4 linked regions of the Caenorhabditis elegans genome follow. The protein of the gene in region 1 interacts with the protein of each later gene in a biochemical or structural test. Each region holds a gene or a part of one and is shown in the gene's direction. Other genes may lie near its edges. The genes, in order: dmsr-7, flp-7, flp-23 and flp-17.

Region 1 (6,186 bases):
TAGGCATAGGTCGCCTTGAAGGCAGGCATTTTACCTTTTTAATGTAAAATTTTTCGGAGAAACTTTCTCTTGATCTTTATAGCATGAGTGTGCTTTTGAAATTTTTTGAAATTTTTGCAATTTCAATTTCTTTCAATTTCCCGAAAAATCCAAGCTAAATCTAAAAGTTTGAAAAACAAGCAATCTGTGAAAAACACATCTGGAACTTTATTCAATAATCTTTCTTTTTCTTCACCCCAATTGTTTTTTGTTTCGTTCTAGGCCTGTTTGTATCTTTGTATGATAGCAAAAGTCAGAGCCACTGTAACTAAATAATGTGCTCAAACTGAAAAAAAACGGAGGCATTCCAAGCAGCCGCCTGAATCATTCTATCCGGGAGTCTGCACAGCCATCTGAAAGATTAGTCTAGAATTGAGCATTAGGAAACTTGTGGAGGAGCCAGAAGGAACCAAGAAAGGCTCCTCTTCATTGCCCAAAGTTTTGTTGTGATTTGTGCATCCCAATTCTCTCCTCTCACTATTCCTACCCCTCCTTCTAGTCCTTCTTTTTTTTTCCTCCTTTTTGCTCGTCACTTTGAAAATAATGCAGTCTCGTCACTGCTTTTCAAGCACTAGAAGCTGCTTGAACTGCAAATTGAATTTGAGGAGAAGCTTCGCCATTTTGTTTCGAGTAAAAAAGACAATGAACACGTTACGTGCGCAATCCACCATTGGTAGCGCCTCTCCTTCCTCCAGTTTTTGCCCCTTTTCAGCTTTTTTCCTGCATTTTTCTCATTTCTCCCCCAATTAGGCTCTCTGCATTTTAAGGTGTTAGAGAATTAGCTAGGTCACTCTTTTGATTTCTTGAAACAAAGATGAAATGTTCAGTGGTCAATAGTCAATAGGCACATCACTTCAATTCCCAAGGGACTTGAGCTTTCTTTCTTCCCCTTTTGACTGCGCCTGCGCCCCTAAACTTTTTTTTTCCACGTTTTCCTTATTCATAAGTCGTGAGAATATTCGATTTTCCGATTCATCTTCTCTGGAAGATGAATTCATTAACTTTGAATGCCACATTTCTGTCTCGAAATCCATTCTGTTTCAAATGTTTCGGTGTGTGTGAAGCAGCACCACACAACAAACATTTTCACAAGATGGCCCCCTGATTTTATATGTTTTATGGTGGCATGAAATACCAAAGTTTAAAACTTTTATACTTAACTAATAAGTTTCTGTTCTAGGTAGGACTAACATGGTAGGCAGGCGCATAAAATTTGAAAGCAATAAATTTGAATTTCGATTAATTTGATGAAAAGCAGGTGGACCTAACTTTGAAGTCCGGCAGGTAGGCAGTCGTTTGGCGCCTACCTAGAAGCCCTAGATCTAGGTTACATGTTCACAAGAAACAGAAAGTTGAGCGAAAGATTAAACATTCACGAACGAGTGTGCTTCACAATTATAATCATCGCAATTATAAAACTGCTGAAAAATATGCTTACTATGTTTTAAAAGACTAGTCTTGCCAAGATAAGTTGGCAGGCATGCCTACATGCCTACCAATTATTTTGTGCATTTTCAAGATCTGCTGAAATCGAAAAAAATTATTTTAAAATGTTTTAAACCCAAATAATAAATATTTTGATAAATATGGCTCTCTTTTACGGTTTCGAGTGTCATTTTTTTTTAAACATGCAAAATTTACAAAAGAATTTACGCGTTTTTTGCAATTTTTCGCTCACTTTGTTTTCGAAAACAAACAAATCTACCGCCCTGGCCGGCAAAAAAATAGGTTTTTTGGTTTTTTTTACTCTAGGAAATAGTTTTTAAAAAATAAAAATCTTCAATCAAAGATTTTTACAATTTTTCAAAGTATTTTCCTGCTATAGAAATAACAACTCACGGAACAAAAATAACTTCCGGCCAGTGACCTATAATTTTGTAAATTTTTTGAAAAACGAAATTATATATTTTGTTCGAAAACTCGATCAGCTTCTTCCACAACAACCGACTGTCATCTAAAAGTTCAAAAAACACAGAACGCATTCCACCCTGTTGCTCTTGGCTTCTTCTGATTTTCTCCTTATGTTTCTTTGTTTCAATGGTCTTTAAAAACCCCTTAAATTTTCAACATTTTGAAGGATGTGCTAGATATGGAATGTCCGCACGATGCTCAGTTGTTTGATCCGAACAGTAACAGTACGCAGGCATTTCTTCGGAAACTTGCACATTTTCAAAGGTTTGTTAAACTATTTTTTGTGCACTTCTTTCAAAAAAAGAAAAATGAACCAATGATTAATTGTCAGATGGTACCAGCCAATTCACGGATATGTATGTGTGCTCATCTGCGTTTTTGGTATCTTCACCAATTTTGTGCATGTGGCAGTTTTATCGAGACCCAACATGCGCAATTCGGCCGTCAACTGCATACTGACAGCAGTGGCTGTCTGTGATATCGGAACAATGGCATCCTATCTCATTTATATTATACATTTTGTCTTACGACGAAATAATTCCTGGTAATTCTTGTGTGTTTATTGGGTGGAAATGTTTTTGTTTTGGGAAATGGAGCGGCGTGGCGGCTTTTGAGTAGGAACATCAACAAATATGGAATTTTTGGAAAAATAACACAAGCTTTAAAATATTTATTTTCTGGTTTTTCCTATTCCAATTTTATGGTGAATTGCAAAACCCGGAAAATGTCGGTCACTTCATAAAAAGGATGTAGAGTTCGAAGGCGCTGATTGGTTTAAAAATAGTCATGGCTTCTCATTTTGGAAAAATTCAAATATGAAAATTCGCAATTTCAAAAATTGGACATTTTTAAATCTTTCTCGATTTTTTAAGTTTCCTTTTTTTTTGATTATGCAGCATATATTTGAATATTTCGAATACTTTGAAACAAAATCCTTATTTTCCAAACTCTACCTCAAACCATTAATAACAAGAATTCAAACTAAGTGTGCTCTTTCTATTGAAAATTTTGAAGGATATTTATATTCTTCTATTTTTCCACTCAAGTATCAACACACACACACAAAAAAACATCCTCAAAGTAATAATGGAATTTCAAAAGTTGAATGCCCATGTTCGTCACTTGCTGCACTTAATTGAAGAGGCATAGAATTTTAGTTGAACCTGGAACTATTTATTTCCTCCTATCCGTTTTATGTGCATCAAAACATGAAAACAACTGCATATTTTATTGATCATAGGAAATTTTGAAAATCGTCACAAAGCTACAAACTACGTGTATTCATAAATAACAAAAGTGAATTCAAGATGAAAAGTCGCTCGTAAAATGATACTGAAAAACACGAAAACAAGCGTTTGCAATGAAACTCAATAATTTTTATTATTAGATTTTATTACAGCACTCCAACGTTCACTCATTCTTGGTTACAATTCCTATTGTGGCATGTTGTTTTGAGCATCACACTACACACAACTTCTTTATGGCTCGCTGTGGCGATGGCGTTCATTCGGAGGATGACATTAAGGGTTACCGCTTTGAATAGGTATGCTGGGAGCAAAGTTTAAGGGACTAACATTTTTTTATACACTAAGATGAACAAGTTTTGTAATGAAAGTTTTCAAAATTTTTTTCAAACAATGGTAGGTATCCAAAAATATTTAAAATTGAAATTTTACAAAGACATTGCAAGCAATATACCCAGAAACGTTGGCCCCCTTAAAAAATCTGGAAATTTTCAGTCAATGGCAACGACCAAAGTTCGCATGGAAGTTGTGCCTGGGAATCTATATGGTCGTATTTGTACTTTGTATTCCAAATATGCTGGTCCACGAAATCGCCCGTGTAGAAGGAAATGACTGGCGACCTGGCAAAACGTGTCAAAAATTTGCATCGAACTACTCTGAACCGGTGTACACTTTTATGGTCAGCCACGCGGCGACTATCAACAATTGCCGGTTGTTTAAATGGAATATTTGGATGATTGGAATTCTGTTCAAGGTTAGCGAGTACGCGAGTTATCAAATTAAACGTCCTACCAGTTTTCAGATCATTCCATGTATTCTGCTAATTTTCTTGTCTTTCGGCCTTGTATCAAAGATTAGAGACGCAGAAAAGCATCGGAGGAAACTAACGAGTGTTCCGTCAAATGCATCAACAGATTCAAAACCATTGAAAAAGTATAGTCAACTCTCAAAGAACTTTTATGACAAAATGGAAATTTTCAGAAAGAATGGAACATCAGATAGAACCACATTGATGCTTGTTGTTATTTTATTGGTATTTTTAATAACGGAGTTTCCACAAGGAATCATCTCGATTCTTTGCGCAATTTTTACTACAGACGTTCATAGGTAAGATTTGATGTTTAACTAGAAATTTGGCCTGGAAAAACTGAAATCGAACTGCCCCAAGCTTGACCCAATTTTTCTTGAGTCATTTGAATTTTTGGAAATTTGGGTGCAGGCTGAGTCTTGCAAAAGTGTTGCTAAATTTTTGTTGGCCCAATTAAAGCTAAAATTGGGCGCTAAAGAAGTTTTCGAAAAATTAAATTTTCCATTTCAGATACCTCTATTTCTACATTGGTGATGTTCTTGATCTCCTATCGCTTGTCAATTCCTCTGTAAATTTTGTTTTATATTGTGTGATGTCTTCAAGATACCGGCAGACGTTTTGGGAAGTTATCATTCCTTCGTGGGCTTGTGGGTAAGTTCATTCTTATTGAACCAGTTCCTGTTACAGTAGTCTAAAATAAAATTTTTCCTCTCAGATTGTGGACGACCCGTCGTGGTTCTCCGACGGAACTTTCACAGCTTCAGTTGAACAACAGCTTACGACTAGGAAGGTCAGTTAATTTGTTTTTGAAGTCTGGAAAATATTATCTTTAATTTGCAGAAAACAAAGCTATACGCCACTGGCAACTGAACCGGAACCAGCACGCAATGAGTATTGGCGGTATGAAGCTTCCGTGTCGGACAATCAGAACAGCAGTAGAGAACATCAACTTTAAATTCCAATTTTTTCGATCTCGGTACAAATTCCCTTTGCAGATTTTTTGTGATATCTTGCTCATTTTCATAGCTTTCGCATTTTCTATTCTATTCTTGTTACGGGTACTTTTTGTTTTTTATTAATTCAGTTTTTATATAAATCAATATGGTTTACAAAATTATTAAATTATTCACGGCGCCGTGAAAAAAAAATTGTTTACAAAAAGACACGTAGATGTGAGTAAAACTAGGAAAAAAAATTATTTTCAATTGAAAGTGATTTCCGAAAGGTGAGTTCTCTTTTTCTCTTCCAGGAATCAAAAGTTAAAAAGGTTTGATGTTTTAGATTATGAAAGACGACGTCGTTGACAACATAATAATTGATGTCCTGAGCGCTAGTACTCACGAAAAGCTACTTTCCGAAGTGATCACGGAAGGACGAGTTCTAAAGCTTCTCGATTTGGCACTGGATGTATTTAAAAGACAGAAATCAATGGTTGAAATGAATGCTCCGATAAAGGTGTGCGGTGACATCCATGGACAATTCCCGGATCTTCTTCGTCTCTTCCATCGTGGTGGATGGCCGCCGACTGCGAATTATTTATTCCTTGGTGACTATGTGGACCGTGGAAGATTTAGCATTGAAACCATTGTTCTTCTTCTCGCTTATAAGGTTTGTTGCTTTAAGTTTTGCAAAAAGAAGCTAGGATCAAAAATTGTGACGCGCCAGAATTAATCATTGACACAAAGAATGCCAAAACAGGGGATTTTTGCAGAGACCGCTTAGATTTTCCAAAATAAGCGTACACATGTGATAAATAAATGTGTTTTCAAAAAGAAACATATTTATTGTCCATCACATATTGCTCTGCAAAAAAGTGCGCATCTCTCAAGTATCAAAGTGACAGAAAGTTGATGCTGCTCCGATGAGCTGTCAAATTTGAAAAATGACGTCAACTGGAGTGATGGATCTTTTGGACGTTTATTTCTCTCTCCCGATCTTCCAAATCCCATGGCGTGAACTTCTTTGAAACATTTTTCAAGTCATGATTCCAGGTGAAATTCCCGGGCAATTTATTCTTGTTGCGTGGAAACCATGAGTGCGAGTTTGTCAACAAGGTATATGGATTCTATGAAGAGTGTCAGAAACGCTATCAAAGTGTTCGCATGTTCACGGCTTTCCAGGTAAATTTGATTTTTTACCAAAATTGAACAATAAGGTGCAATATTAATACAGGAAAAACGGTAC
Region 2 (4,400 bases), on another chromosome or scaffold:
ATGAGTAGATGACAACTACTACATGTTGATCAGCAGTACTCTAAGAAGTGCACTTCGGAAAGATATTTCAAGTGCCAAACGTTTTTCTAGAATTTAGAAAGCTTTACGCACAGAAAAATATTTTGATTTCTCACTATAAAAACTAAAAATAAAATCTAAAAGCTTGACATTTTGATGGCGAACTATGAAAATATGAAAATCAAATCTCCAACATCTCAAAACAATTTTTCAACTGTCAAGTGTTCATCTTCATTCTTTTCTTTTTTATTTTTTTTCTGATTTTTGTTGCTCATTTTTCTTTAACCCGCTTTTCCAGGAGTTCTCCAAAAAACCCTCGCTGTTAGCTATAAATCAATTTATTTTGGGAGTACATGTTGCCACGAAAAATAAAACAAAGTAATTTTCTAAGAAATCGGAATAAATTTTTTACCCTTATTAAAAACTACTACGTCGATTAATGTTAAACAAATTTAATCATACATGTTTCTAGCGAAAAAAAAACCTTGAATACGGTCAAAGAACAGCGAATTCTGATAAGGCATATTTTCTATGTTTATTTATTAGTGTTGCTTGAATAAATTCATGATCATTTATAGTGATGCGAGAGCTGAAAGTTTCTTGGAGCGAAACAAAAAGCAAAATTGGAGCCTATATAACCATGTGATCAAAGTGTCAAAATGATTTAACAATTGTAGTTTCATAAACTAGAAATTACGTGTGGAAACTGACAAAAACTTTCAACTTTTCAACTTTTCCGCCTTCAATTTTTCTAGAATTCTTAATTTCATTGCAGCAGCGACTTAATTTCCGTTTTGACGTAGACTTAAGATTATATCGGTAACATTAGTTGTAAGTTTTCTTCGTCATTTTACAAAGACTTACAACTCGCCGTATAAATTTTCAATTTTTTCGGAATTGTTGGCCCACGTGTTTTCATTTATTGTGAACAAAGTTAATAGCTTGGTTGTGTCTGGAAAAGTTACTTAAAGTAGTTCAAAAACTTAGAGTTCTATGAAATAGCAGCTTCTCTTCTGGCATCTCTCACATCTTTTGCTCGAGTTACGATAATTGAGGAAACGTTTGAAATTAAATGCACAGGTGATTCTATAAAATACTTATGGAATGTTTTTGAAAGGGTTTTGCAAAAATACTCAAACGCATCTACAATAAGTGTACATACGTAATATGACATATCACCCAGATTCACAAAACCACATGTTTTATAGATATGGTACTTGGTTTCAACAATTTTTAACATACTTTGAAAAAGAGCAAAAAGTATGTTTTACATTATTTATTGAAAACTCGTGTCAAGACCTGTTATTGTACTTAAGTTTTTTATCTGAAACTATTTTAAACTCTACATTTCACAATCAATGATCAAAAGAAAAACTGACCGAAATTTCTTTTTTTTTATTTTAAACTAGTTTTTGAACAAAATTGAACTTAAAAAACTTCAGTATCCACAATTGAAAAAAAACGTCATTTTTTGATTTTCTTAATCTTGAAGCTGTATTGTAATGTACTTAAAATTATTTTTGTTATGCGACTCTTATAATATTTTACATAAAAAGGACTAGATAAATATGTGTTTGTGCATCACAACCCCCGTTTAAAAATAAATTGAACTTTCATTCATTTATTCATTTCAATTAAACATAATATATTTTATAATTTTTTTTCAGGCTCCAAAATGACTTTTTTATAGGTTGAAGAGCCTGATAATAGTTTTAATAATACCTAAATTTATAAATTGAAATTTCAACGTACATCAGTACGGATAACTTTGTGTCTAAGTAATACATACAAAATTTTTGGAAACTTATTTGTTGAATTAATTTTTATTTTTGCCTTCTTCTAACACTTCCTCCTAAATTCTCAACTGACCGCTCAAAAGGTTTCAAACATCTTTCTCTTTGCTCTTCTGGAGAGTGCTTGCTAGTATCCTAAAATACCCGACACAATCAAACAGAGATGGACCGCGTGAATAATGAAGTGTCCCAAGATCCGTATAATTCACTTTGATTGCTCTGTGAACTTGGATTTTTTTAATCGGGCTAATGCGTCTTTAGCAAAAATAGCCAACCATCTCAATGGATTCCAACCTAATTTTGATTTTTTTTTTTTTTGGTGTTATTTTTTCTCCTTGTTCCGATTTCCAGTTTTTGTTTGGACGAAGGCGGAGTCATAGCATCAGACAAGGTTAGAAGGCATGAGAAGAAGGGGGTGGAGCATGAGCCTTTCTCGAGCTCAGGAATATGAAAGCGTATATAAGTATGGATAGCAGCTTCTATTGCGTTTCTGATTGTGATTATTTTGCCCCGTCATCAGTTTTCTTTTCAGTAAATTGTCAAATACAAATTTTTTGATTACTGTTGCTTGGTCTTGTGCAATCCACTCAATCTTGAATCCAATTTGCAGTTCAAGTTACAAATTGAATTTCCCTCTGCCAACACTCAAAGAAGGGTTCTTTTTTTTGACTTTTCAACTTTTCTCCTCATTTTTTCTCGATTGAAATTTCAATTTTTAAACCACTCCGCGTCATGTTTGGAAACATGACGTCATCGAAAAATACCATCTCGTTTTCATTCAAAGACTTTTAGAAATGCTTGGATCCCGCTTCCTTCTTCTTGCTCTTGGTCTCCTAGTTTTGGTATTGGCCGAGGAATCAGCCGAACAACAAGTTCAAGAACCAACTGAGTGAGTTGAGATTTATTGATATTATGTTGTTCTTGTTGTCGTGATTTGTTGAGTGAATAAATTTATTTTATTATTCTGAATGAACTCCTATTTTTTCTATTTTTTATATTTTTCAGACTCGAGAAGTCAGGAGAGCAACTCTCAGAGGAGGACTTGTGAGTTGTTATTATTCAGAAAAAACTTTATTCTCACACTATGCACTTTTAGAATTGACGAGCAAAAGCGTACTCCAATGCAACGCTCATCAATGGTTCGGTTCGGACGGTCACCAATGCAACGCTCATCCATGGTTAGATTCGGAAAGCGTTCGCCAATGCAAAGGTCCTCAATGGTTCGCTTTGGAAAACGGTCGCCAATGCAACGATCTTCAATGGTGCGTTTTGGAAAACGTTCACCGATGGAGCGTTCGGCTATGGTTCGCTTTGGAAGATCACCTATGGACCGATCGAAAATGGTCCGATTTGGTAGATCATCAATTGATCGCGCTTCTATGGTTCGGTACGTATTGACGTGAAAAGTATTTTGTGAATAAAGCTGAAGTTCAGACTCGGAAAACGGACACCAATGCAGAGATCATCGATGGTCCGTTTTGGCAAACGTTCGATGGAATTTGAGATGCAATCAAACGAGAAGAACATCGAGGACAGCGAATAAACAAGTACATGCAAACACCTTGATTACCAAGAACAAAACGGTCTCACATTGTAGTTTAATCTCGTTCTACGGCCTATTCTTACCTTTTTCATTTATGTATTTTTTTTTGACAATTATTTTTGTGCCACTTGACTAATAGTACAGATTGGTCGCTACCCAAATACTCCAGTGTATCAAAATTAATTTGCGATTTGCAAAATAAAGAACCGACGCCTGTTTTCCAGTCCTTCATCTTAAATTCATGCAATGCAAAGGATGAGAGGATTTCAAAAAAATAAAACTATAAAAAACAGGAAAATTGTTCAGAATGGCTAATACGGTGAGTCTGGTAAGTTGATTAAAAACAATGTACATTTTTTGCTTTTTGGACTAGTTTCGCGCCATAAAGCATTGTGTCCCGAGCCTGGTTTCATGTCCACTCATTCGCTGCAGTATTCAAATATGATCAAACCTGCCCAGCTACAGAAAAGCCTGATCTCGCGCCTTTCCCTATAACGTTAAAAGTTGTTAACTTTATTTCAAAGTGCATCGACTCTCCTAGGAGAGCGTCGTATGAGTTAAGTTGAACTTTTCAGAAAATAATCCAAAATGATTATTAACATTGTAAAGGCTTCTCAATCCCTACGGCAATAAATCATACAGAGCTTTTTGGTCATGGTCACCCGCTCGTTTTCCTGAAAATCAGAAATATACGTATTTGGATAATAGAGGTTTATTGAGAAAGCCTAAATCTAATAAATTTCAAACCGACAATGGTAAATTTTTCGATATAATTTTCTGGAATGGGTTAATTTTTTTTGCAGTTGTTTATATTATGTCAGATAACTTTTTATTAGTAATAGTCAGAACAGACGGGAAGTTGTAATAATATCAAAATGATCGGAAACCTCAAACGGAACAAAACTAGAAGGAGTATTATCTAAAGTTATATTGGGATAGAGGATGCCTCAGATTAAAAAAAAAATTTTGGCAAATAATCAGATATTGGAAATTTTGAGAAATTTTGAACAATTCTCCTTGTTTTAGCCATACAATTTTTCACATAA
Region 3 (4,874 bases), on another chromosome or scaffold:
ACAGCGATTTTTGTATTTTCAAAAAAAAACAAAATTTCAGATCATTCTCCGGAGGTGGACAGTAAATGTTCTCAAATCAATAAAATTTAATTCGATTTGTGATCCCAACCATCAATATGCATAAATATTTCCCAGATCATTCGAAGAAATCATTCGAAAATGCGTCTTCTTATTCTCGCCCTCGCCTCTTTTTCCGTTCTTGTGAGCTCTTTCATCGTAAGTTCTTCTTTTGACTAAAACTGTGTGAAAACCGTGGAAATACGTGTTTATCAGAGTTAGTGACGAAATTTTACCTTTTAATGGTATGATGCCTCGTAAATTTAATCAAACCTCTGTAGAAAACTCGTGTCATGTCAAGCGATTCGAAATCGATTTCTGAATGTGAAACGGAAACCCGTGTCACTTTGATGTCCAAACGCAGGAATAATTCCTTTGAAATTCAGATTCGTACTCATGATCTGCAAAATGCACCAAAAGCAAGAAGATTCCTGAAAAGTTTTGATCAACCTGAAGTAGTTGATCTTACTAAGGATCCCACTACGTTCCAGGAGTTTACCAAATTCTATGTCCAACTTCTAATCGACGTAATCCAAAAAAAAGACACCAGAAGCCTTCATGGCACACAATAATTACCTGGATCTTGAAATGTTGTTCAATGAATGTAATGCTCAACATTACGAAAATTTAGGTTGGTTTCTGTAATAATATTTCAAAGTCTTTTTTAATAAAATTTTCAGGAATGTTCTTCAAATGGCTTCAACAATTTGCTGCTCATCACGAAGATCCAAAGATCACAATTAAAGATTTCAAGGGAGATAAAACATCAGGAGAAATGATTCTTCATGTTAATACCTTCACTTTATTCAAGTACAGACAAGAATTTGACATGAAAGTTAGCGCTTTGAATGTGGGTTATTGAATCAATATTTTGAAGACAAAACTAATTTTTCAGGACAATGGACTTGGGTGGAAGATTTTGTTTGTTGACCGCAGTCTTGGGTGTAATTGATTCATTTTTTGAAACCGAATAAACTAATTTGTTAAATTATTAAATTAGGCAATGGGACAGTCTGGAAGTTGCTAGAATCTACCGATATTTATTAGATATTTATTACTTACTTGCTACTATGTTTCACAAAACAATATCAGAGAAAAAAAATCAAAACTGAGAAAAAACGAAACAACTTACCGAACAATAGTTAGCATTGCTTTGTACAAAAAAAACTGTGAGGCTATTGGAGCACTCCTCTGATTGATCCGGTCGTGAGTATTGATTTTGTTTGTCAATTTGTCTAGGACGCAATTGATTCATCGTTTGAAAAAAAAGCTCGTTCATTCAAAATCATTGATTATTTATTCCATGCAGAAAACTGTTTTATAATTCTCGATAAAAATGTTATATTTTAAACTGTAAATATTTATTTTTCCACATGATATGGTCTAACCGTGGGCGTAATATTTTCGGTTTAGAACGGCTGAATCGAATCTTTTGGACTGCAAAGACGGATTGGATTTTGAAACAAACTACGGTGTTTTTGTGACAGTATTAGTCAACGAATGGTAATTAGGCATATGTTTTTGGAACAACTCATAATTTCTTGTTGGAAAACAAAAGTGGCAAAGTATAATTATTTAAAACTCTGACAAATCTTTTGTCTTTTTTCTCTGGTACTCCTGTTTTTAACAGTGTCCTTATTATGCTCCTATTACTCTTGTGTTGTGCACGTTCTTTTGAAATCTATATTGCAGAGCGGGAATGAATTTAAATAAGAATAATTCAACTTGGTCATTCAAACAATAAAACGCCTACCATTAATATATCCAAAATAAGTTCTTTATTTTTGCAAGGTATTCAAATATATCAATAACTCGAGCCTGAAGAAATCCACCGCTAGAACATAAAATTAACGATAAATATTAAGGCAAAATGTTTGGGCCGAACCGGGAATCGAACCCGGGACCTCTCGCACCCGAAGCGAGAATCATACCTCTAGACCATCCGGCCACTGCCCGGCTGGAGAAAAATGGGGGACTTTGAGCGTTACAACATTCTCGAGGCCCTCTCGAGTCGAGGGGGACCGAGACGGAGAGTGCTAGGAAAACCAAGCATATTTGGTTTTTGAGTATATAGTCGTACGATTGAGAGGAAGCAAAGATAGATTTATAGCTTTTAATTTATTTTTTCTAGGATTTTACGTAACATTAATTTCAATACTGATTTCGAGATTTGTCTTTTGATAGATTTACAACATGGTTATCATCCGGTATACTATTGTATAAAAGATGGTCCTAAATTCTATGAGATTATTTTATATTCTCTCTCAACGAGATGCTTCTTCCAAAAATTTCAATTCTTCTATATATTCTCGTCGTTCTTCAAGAAACAGCGGCTGTCCGCGGTGCTCTTTTTCGCTCCGGAAGAGCTGTTCCGTTTGAGCGTGTCGTTGGACAACAGGTGAATTTTTTATTTCATTTTGAGTGAGCCATTGTAACATTGGATCATAAGAGTCACGTGGAAAGTAGAACAATCTCAACCCACAAGTTAAAGCCTAATATTATTCCAATGCCTCTAGTAAGATTTTTATAAAAATAGAAACCTCGCCATATTAGCCAGACACGAGATTTTTACGATTTCTTCGTCAAATATACGGTACCCAATCTCGACACGTCAATTTTTCAATAAATGCAAAAAGATGTGCGCCTTCAATGAGTACTGTAACTTCAAACTTTTGTTGCTGCCGAATCGACTTAGTTTTGTGAAAATATATGTATTCATGTTTTAAACAACTCAGAATTAACCCAAAAATTTTAACAAAAACTTTTTTTTAAGCTATGAAAAATCAATTTGAATTCGGCAGCAACAAATGTTTTAAATTACAGTATTTTTTAAAAGCTTACGCCATTTTGCATTCATTGAACATTTGTCGTGTCGAGGCCGGGTATATTTTTGACAGAAAAAAAACAAAATTTCAGGTTCGTTGTTTTTTGTTGTCAAAATTATAATGTGTTTTAATATCATATCAAAAAATTAGTCATTTGATTTTCGATAGATCAAGCTTCAGTAGAGGTTTCTAATCATTCGGAAATATACACAAAATCTTGAATTTACACTTCCGATCAGTTGGAGAATATCATTGATCTATCAATAATGTTAGATTTTGTAGTTGATATTTTCACAAAACTCTCAAAACTTTTTAACATAAAAAGTTGGCATGGTGCGTCTTATAATTTTTGAATAACTTATTAAATTTCTAAAATTAATATAGAGATTGGCTCCCACATGTCGAGAAGTTGAATTATTTGTTCCTTGTCTATTCACTTCTAACCGTGATTGTGTTATCGACAAAATATGTGTTCATGAGAAACCACTTCCCCTTTCATCGATTTCTGTGTCAAGCCCGAGTCCAAATACAAAACGGGAAGGTCATCCCGAGTTCATGAGCCAAATTGCGCCGCCTAGAAGAAATGTGAGAGTTGAGCACAGCATTCAACAATTTCTAATCAGCTTTCAGGACTTTTTGCGATTCGGAAGAGCCGGAATGGCTTCTGGAGTTGGTGGAGGATCGGAAGGAGGACCTGATGATGTGAAGAATTCGTATATTCGGGTCAATGGGGAGCCAGAGATTGTTTATCAATAAAATAATATGGATTCGATGCGTCCGATTATTTTTTTTTACTTGATATTACATTCTCGAAACTATTGTAATGTGTGGGGAATCGTTATAAATAAAATATCTTCTTGTTAAACAATTATTCCATGAAATATGAAGTTATAAAGATATAATCCAGATACGAAACTTTGAGATTTTCGTCCGAAAAGTACGGTAGTGGGTCTCGACACGACAAATGTTAGTTGTGCGCCTTTGAAGATTACTATCATTTAATTTTTTGATTAAATCGTTTTATTCTAAATGCTTAGTATTTACACAAATATATTTCAATCGGAATTTTCAAAGTATTTTCCTAGAGGAAACTACTTTGAAAATTCAAAAATTCAGCAACAACGAGAGTTTGTAATTACGGTAATCTTCAAAGGCGCACACCTACTCGTATTTAACAAAAATTTGTCGTGTCAAGACCGGGTTCCGCTCTTTTTTGCAGTAGTACAGAGAATATTCCGAAAGAAGTTTGAAATTAAATTAATTTATTATACCGACAAATCATCAAATGTGATGTATTTCAATGAGTACAATTTTTCGAAAGAAAAACAGATTGAGGATAAAACTTGAGTGATGAGATAACCGTAATATGGAGAATTATATCAGTGTCAAGAAGGCACATTGTTCAGTTTCATATTTACAGATGTTTGGGATTAAATGAAGATTCGGTATGCATCGACGATCAGAACAATGAACGAGTGAGTTGAAAGACCTGGAATGTTTAAAATTAATTTTTAAATTAAAATTCAATTTTCTGCCAACCTTTTGTTGAATGATATCAGTTCTTGGAGAAGACCATCTTTCAATTGCTTCAAATTCACGACGTCTTTTCACCAGTTGTAAGAAGGCGGTCAACGACCCGTCAACGTTTGCGTAGTGTGTGCGGCAGGAGAAGAGACTGCAAAACAGAGATATTTCATGAAGACTCAAATGAACAGCGGAAAATGTGCCTCGATAGCTCAGTTGGGAGAGCGTACGACTGAAGATCGTAAGGTCACCAGTTCGATCCTGGTTCGGGGCAATTCTTTTTCGATTTTTTGAAACTTACCAAATTCCATCATACGAGAGTCCTTGGTGCAGAATTTCGTGAACCAAATCAAATTCTGCTTCTTGCCGGTTTAGAAGATCTGGTGCCAAAATGATGTCGAATTTTTTTCCGCCAAGGAACTTCATTGCCTCTTCAATTGTACCACATGAAACCTTGGTCTTGATCAT
Region 4 (5,083 bases), on another chromosome or scaffold:
GTTTTGGACAAATCATTACTCAAAGTAAAACAGTAAAATATTTACTGTAAGCAAAATCGCATCGTTCTCAGCAAAGATTGCATCATACACTTAAAGTAGTCTCTGTGTATCTGGTGACACGGAGGAAAAAATTTTTTTGAAAAGTGATTCATTTTTATAAAATATCGAAATGTTTTCAAACAGAATTTCAACTCTCAATAATTTTCCGTTTCGGAGAAGGTGCACGAAAATATTTTTGTTTCATATAATCAATTTTCATTTTTAGAAGGTTTTTTTCTTAACCATCATTCATTGAATTTCTCGATTTTTTTTCGGAACCTGCAAGGATGTAGAAAAATGATTCTTACAAAGTTCTAAAAATTTGAACATACTTTTGAAAATTTTACTGTTTCCCATTATCTATTTAGGTTTGTAACTTATACAGAATTCAATGTTATAGATCCATCAATTTCAAATAAAACGGAACAAATCGTTTAAATAAATAAAATCACTGTTTCAGGTGGTTTATTTTAAAATATGTTTTACTTACATTAGGAAACACTTGTTACAACGAGTGATTTTTATATTGGCAAATTATTATTGTTTCAGTATAACCAGCCATATTTGTAGCATTCGTTGAAACAGGAAAAAAAATTCAAAAATAAAACCGGCAAAATGTCTCTTAATCCATCATTCATTCATTCAATTCTGCATTTTCCGAAATTTTTCGGAGATTTCCGAAAAAGGGGCGGAGCTTACATTTTTTCATGAAAATTTACTTTTAAATTTATTGAAGAGCATTAAAAAAACAGCTTGTATGTTTAGTAGTTTTTTCTCTGATTGATTTTAAAAGTTTTTATTTTAATTTTTAAATAAAACAAATAGGCAGCGTTTCATTGGAAATATGAAAACGTTAATATTCCAAGCGTTTTATATTAGAAATTCTAGAAGAGAACTGTCTTGGCCAAAAAAAAGTATCAAAACAGTTTACAGTTTCGAAAAATTTGGAATAAGTTTCAAGTAACAGAACATTTTTAAAATATTCGGTTTCAACAAAAAATTTTATTTGTTTTTTTTTGTTTCAAAAGTGTCAAATAATCTCTCGTTCATTATGCAAACTGGAAAACGAAATATGCCTTAAAATTGTGAAAAAAAAGTTATATACTGAAAGCATATAAATTAAGTATCCATCAGGTTCTAAAAACTGCTTAATTTTTTCCAAAATGCGTTTTTTATTGAAAAAGACAATGTTATTATTTTTCGAATAGTTATTAAATGTTTTTTGTTAATCGGAATTTTTAATACGTACTTCACAAAATATTCCAAATAATTACAGTACGTTAGCTTTGAATATATGTTCGAAAACCGTCTTCTAATCCATCATTCATTCAAATTTTGAGAAATAATTTTCCGAAATATCACGGAGTTTGCGAAAAATGGAGCGGGCTTGAACTTTTTTAAAGTATTTACAAAAATTATTATTTATTGCTTCCTTGGGGGTATTTGCAAAATAAATTATTTTTCGGGATTTTTCATAATGCCTACCGCTATGTTGCTTACCTGCTTTATGACATTCCACTACTAACACTCCCGCCTGCCTGATAGCTACTCATATATCTACCTACCTGCCTACCTGGTGCCTCTATGCCTAACTATTGCCTTTCTTCATTTCGACGGTAACTCGGAGTTTTGATATTTGCTCAGTGTAGCTACCAACACCTTTTTAAAGATTTAAATCAAAAAATATAGAAATTATTTTTCGGCAGTAGGCATGTGGTAGGCAAGCACATTCGTGACAAGTTGATTCACCAAAAACATCATCAGACCAAATCTGGGCGGAGCTTGAGCATTCCACCTTTACGTCCGTGTTCTCGGCACGTTTTCAACGAGGCGTGCTCAGCTCCGGATACCGTATCCGATTTCTCAGAAGCCTCTAAGTTTCCCGTGCTTTCTTGTCAAATTGATTAGGAAATGATTCGGATTTTCTGAATTTTTGAAAGATTTTTCGGTTTTTTCAGTGATTTCAATCGGAAATTCGGAGCCGGAAATGCATTAGGAAGGGGCTAATAGCTATAAATTGACACGGGAAATTCAGATTTTTCATTCATTTTTCACACATTTTCTGTTACTTTTTCTCAATGATTTTTTTGTGTTTCCATTTTTTTTCCTTTAAAAAAATTCTGTGTGGAAATATTTTCCGCAAAACTTTATTTTTCCAGATGCTCTCCAAACTAGTGCTCACCACTTGTTTGTTGCTCACAATTTCGGGATCCTCCCAGGCCGCTTCAATGGAGGAAATTCAGTCGGAAAAGTTTTGCGAGAAGTTCCCAACACTCCACATGTGCCGACTGAAAGAAGAGCTGACAGGCAGTTTGGTCGAGTTACAGTATCTTTTGCAAGATGGTGAGTCGGCTGGAATATTTTTTTTAGTTGGACGTTGTTCGATAGTTCCTCTAGTTTGAGAGATTTAATGGAAAATGTGAAATTTCTTGAAAAAAATAGTTGTGAAAAGTATAGATTTTTTAGGATTAGAGCACAATATTAAAATTGTAAATCATGAGTGATAGAAATTCGACTTTTTTTCTTTTTTATTGGTAGTTTTATAGAAAAACGTTACTAATGAATTCAAACTCTCAAGTCGTTATTTCTCGTTTTCGTAAAACGGAAAAAAACATTAATTTTAACGTTTAATTTTAATTTATCACGTTCTCTTGAAGAATCTTAATTTTATTTTACCGTTTCAAGCCTTTCATAAAGATGGTAATGTTTCCTCATTCTAATGATGACTCTGTAACGTCGCATTTCAGAGAATATAGAAATATTTCAATTTTTAGTCCGTGAAAACAACCATGATAATAATAAAACGAATTTTTTTTTAAGTTCGTGACTACTTCGGTCACATTTGAAAATTTTTCGTAGCAGCAAAAAAATGTCTCGTTGTTTAAAATTATTAATATTATCCCACCGCAGATTTTTTTAGGTTTAGAGCATTTTTTTAGAGCTCAGAGCATTTTTAGAGCATTTATGTAGGTCGGGTCTGTCATCCAAATAAAATAAGAAAACGATGAAAAAAAGCTATGAAAAAGTCAAATTTCAACCTAATTTTTCTGAACCTTTTTTCATTTTCTATTTTGAAATTCTACTTTTTTTCGCATATAAATTTGGTAATTGAAAAGAATTGACTGTGAGACCCCTAAAAATGAAAAATGTTACAAAACATTTGAAACAGTGAACTTTTTTTTTGAAATTTTTTACAGCATCATTCCCGGAGCTATTCTACTAAAGAATCTTTTATAAAAAAACTTTTTAACTTTCAGGAATCAACAATCAACAGCAAGCCGGAGCTCAAGAGGTACAAAAGAGAAAGAGCGCCTTTGTCAGATTCGGAAAGAGATCTGCTCCAGAGGAAGAGGCTATGGTATGTTAAAAATCCCATTTTGTAAGCCTCCAACTTTTTTTTTCAGGAAATGGAAAAGCGTAAATCAGCGTTTGTCAGATTTGGAAGATCATTCGGAATGGAGCCACAGATTACTGAAAAAAGAAAGAGCCAGTACATTCGCTTTGGAAAATAATTTTTTTTTTTTGATTTTCAAATTCCCACCATTTATTCCTTTTTCAACCAACATTTTGAGCAACTCCTACTCTCTTGGGTACCAATATTTCTCTAAATTTACAAAAATTCACAACCCCCTGTTAAAATTCCCAGTTCGTGAATTTTCCTTCTAGTTTTTTTTCCGAGAAATCTTCCTCCGTGGGCTAATAATTTTTTTCTTTTTGGTGTGGACAACTTTTATTAATTGACTGAATGTGTTTGTCAATCGGTGTGGCGATGACACCCCAAACCTCCACAATCCTGTTTCTTGATCAGCTTGAAATTGAGATTTGAATAAAACTGACTATTTTGTTAGACTGGTGACTGCTGGAAAATGTTGTTTCAACTTTTTGATGAATTCTTATAAAAATAGCAGCTGAAAATTGATTGTGAAATTGTGTGTTTCAGAGTGTAGTTGAACGTTTGCAGCATCCTTCATCGGCCGGGTTTCAGCATAAGTGGCCGCACCCCTTAGGAGACGGACCCTGTCCAAATTTAAAATCGCGTGATCCTTGAAAATTTCGGTTACTATGTAGTTTTCAGGCATTCAGGAAGATAGTGGAGATCCAATTGACATTGAAAACTTCATGCAGAAGTAAAAACTTACTGTTTCACTTTGTTTTTATAATTTCATATACTTTTCTTTATAGTTTCTTTGTAGTTTTCTTAGAAAATAAATACGAATACTTTAATAGTCTCAATTTTTCCGAGAACAAAAAAAAACATTTATTATCATCTTTGAGACAGAACAATTGAAAGAACTAAAACCAGAGAAGAAATGTGGGTAATTTGATACAAATTGAATATTTTTAGTACTCAAAAAATACGACCAATACACAGAAACAGAAAATAAATAAATCAGGGAAAATGATTAATTAAACTTATAGGAAAGCGATTCCGAAGCCGGATGCTCAATTGTGTAGCGAACTGGGAGAAGACGATGTTGGCCGGGTGCCAAAATGACACACCATTCAAGATTATGGTCTTTGTTAAGACGAGCATCTGGTGGAGATGAGTTCTTGGAGGAAGACGAGCTTTTGATCTCCGGAGACACGATAGAAACCTGGAACTGAGAAAATTGTCTGCAAGGTCAAGGGGTGAACTCTCGGTCACTTGCTCACCAACCTAGCACACTACCACTGCGCCAATAACCCGCTTTTTTGTACTAACTACATTTCTAACTAATTGCAAGAAAAATGTTACCTAGTTTCATTCTTTTGAAACAGAAGCTCAAAACATTTTCCAAAACCGAAATGAGGTGTGGTAGTTGGGATTTGGCGGGGGCGGCAGGGGTAGTTTCTTCTCAATTTTAAAACTTTCAGATTTTGTAAAATTTTATCTACTTTCTGCGCTCTAATGAAAATAAATTTAAATTCTCACCTTAATCTTGTCATCATGGCTTTTTGGAATCTGCTCCTTTACCGTAATTTTTACACTTTGACGAACTTTTGCACTGCGGACACTGATCAGCTGCTCGTGAGTCATTAAGGTACTTTTTGACATGAACCCCAC

Evidence for each region.
Region 2: the proteins of dmsr-7 (region 1) and flp-7 interact in a test that uses a peptide from one of them, tested with the Caenorhabditis elegans proteins (one large-scale study listed by BioGRID).
Region 3: the proteins of dmsr-7 (region 1) and flp-23 interact in a test that uses a peptide from one of them, tested with the Caenorhabditis elegans proteins (one large-scale study listed by BioGRID).
Region 4: the proteins of dmsr-7 (region 1) and flp-17 interact in a test that uses a peptide from one of them, tested with the Caenorhabditis elegans proteins (one large-scale study listed by BioGRID).

Annotation. Positions count from the first base shown.
Region 1 is NC_003283.11:5,403,242-5,409,427, forward strand, and holds dmsr-7 (G-protein coupled receptors family 1 profile domain-containing protein), read left to right. Parts: upstream 1-2,111; 5' UTR 2,112-2,128; coding exon 2,129-2,214; intron 2,215-2,281; coding exon 2,282-2,494; intron 2,495-3,349; coding exon 3,350-3,493; intron 3,494-3,689; coding exon 3,690-3,948; intron 3,949-3,996; coding exon 3,997-4,127; intron 4,128-4,175; coding exon 4,176-4,301; intron 4,302-4,512; coding exon 4,513-4,653; intron 4,654-4,717; coding exon 4,718-4,792; intron 4,793-4,842; coding exon 4,843-4,957; 3' UTR 4,958-5,145; downstream 5,146-6,186. Other genes in the region: C25A6.1 (Serine/threonine-protein phosphatase), read left to right, coding at 5,287-5,610, 5,994-6,122.
Region 2 is NC_003284.9:5,883,262-5,887,661, forward strand, and holds flp-7 (TPMQRSSMVRF-amide 2), read left to right. Parts: upstream 1-2,603; 5' UTR 2,604-2,605; coding exon 2,606-2,700; intron 2,701-2,816; coding exon 2,817-2,855; intron 2,856-2,907; coding exon 2,908-3,198; intron 3,199-3,245; coding exon 3,246-3,354; 3' UTR 3,355-3,572; downstream 3,573-4,400. UniProt on the Caenorhabditis elegans protein: FMRFamide-like neuropeptides. Stimulates serotonin-induced fat loss by binding to and activating the npr-22 receptor which leads to induction of the atgl-1 lipase and subsequent fat loss.
Region 3 is NC_003281.10:8,648,448-8,653,321, forward strand, and holds flp-23 (VVGQQDFLRF-amide), read left to right. Parts: upstream 1-2,319; 5' UTR 2,320-2,329; coding exon 2,330-2,455; intron 2,456-3,266; coding exon 3,267-3,467; intron 3,468-3,512; coding exon 3,513-3,638; 3' UTR 3,639-3,747; downstream 3,748-4,874. Other genes in the region: F22B7.3 (uncharacterized protein), read left to right, coding at 616-688, 738-907, 953-1,009; F22B7.9 (uncharacterized protein), read right to left, coding at 4,342-4,371, 4,422-4,557, 4,708-4,874. UniProt on the Caenorhabditis elegans protein: FMRFamides and FMRFamide-like peptides are neuropeptides.
Region 4 is NC_003282.8:17,189,007-17,194,089, reverse strand, and holds flp-17 (FMRF-Like Peptide), read left to right. Parts: upstream 1-2,198; coding exon 2,199-2,382; intron 2,383-2,577; exon of another isoform or gene 2,578-2,598; intron 2,599-2,759; exon of another isoform or gene 2,760-2,783; intron 2,784-3,140; exon of another isoform or gene 3,141-3,161; intron 3,162-3,296; coding exon 3,297-3,397; intron 3,398-3,443; coding exon 3,444-3,551; 3' UTR 3,552-3,886; downstream 3,887-5,083. Other genes in the region: C52D10.3 (DUF4140 domain-containing protein), read right to left, coding at 4,443-4,634, 4,952-5,083.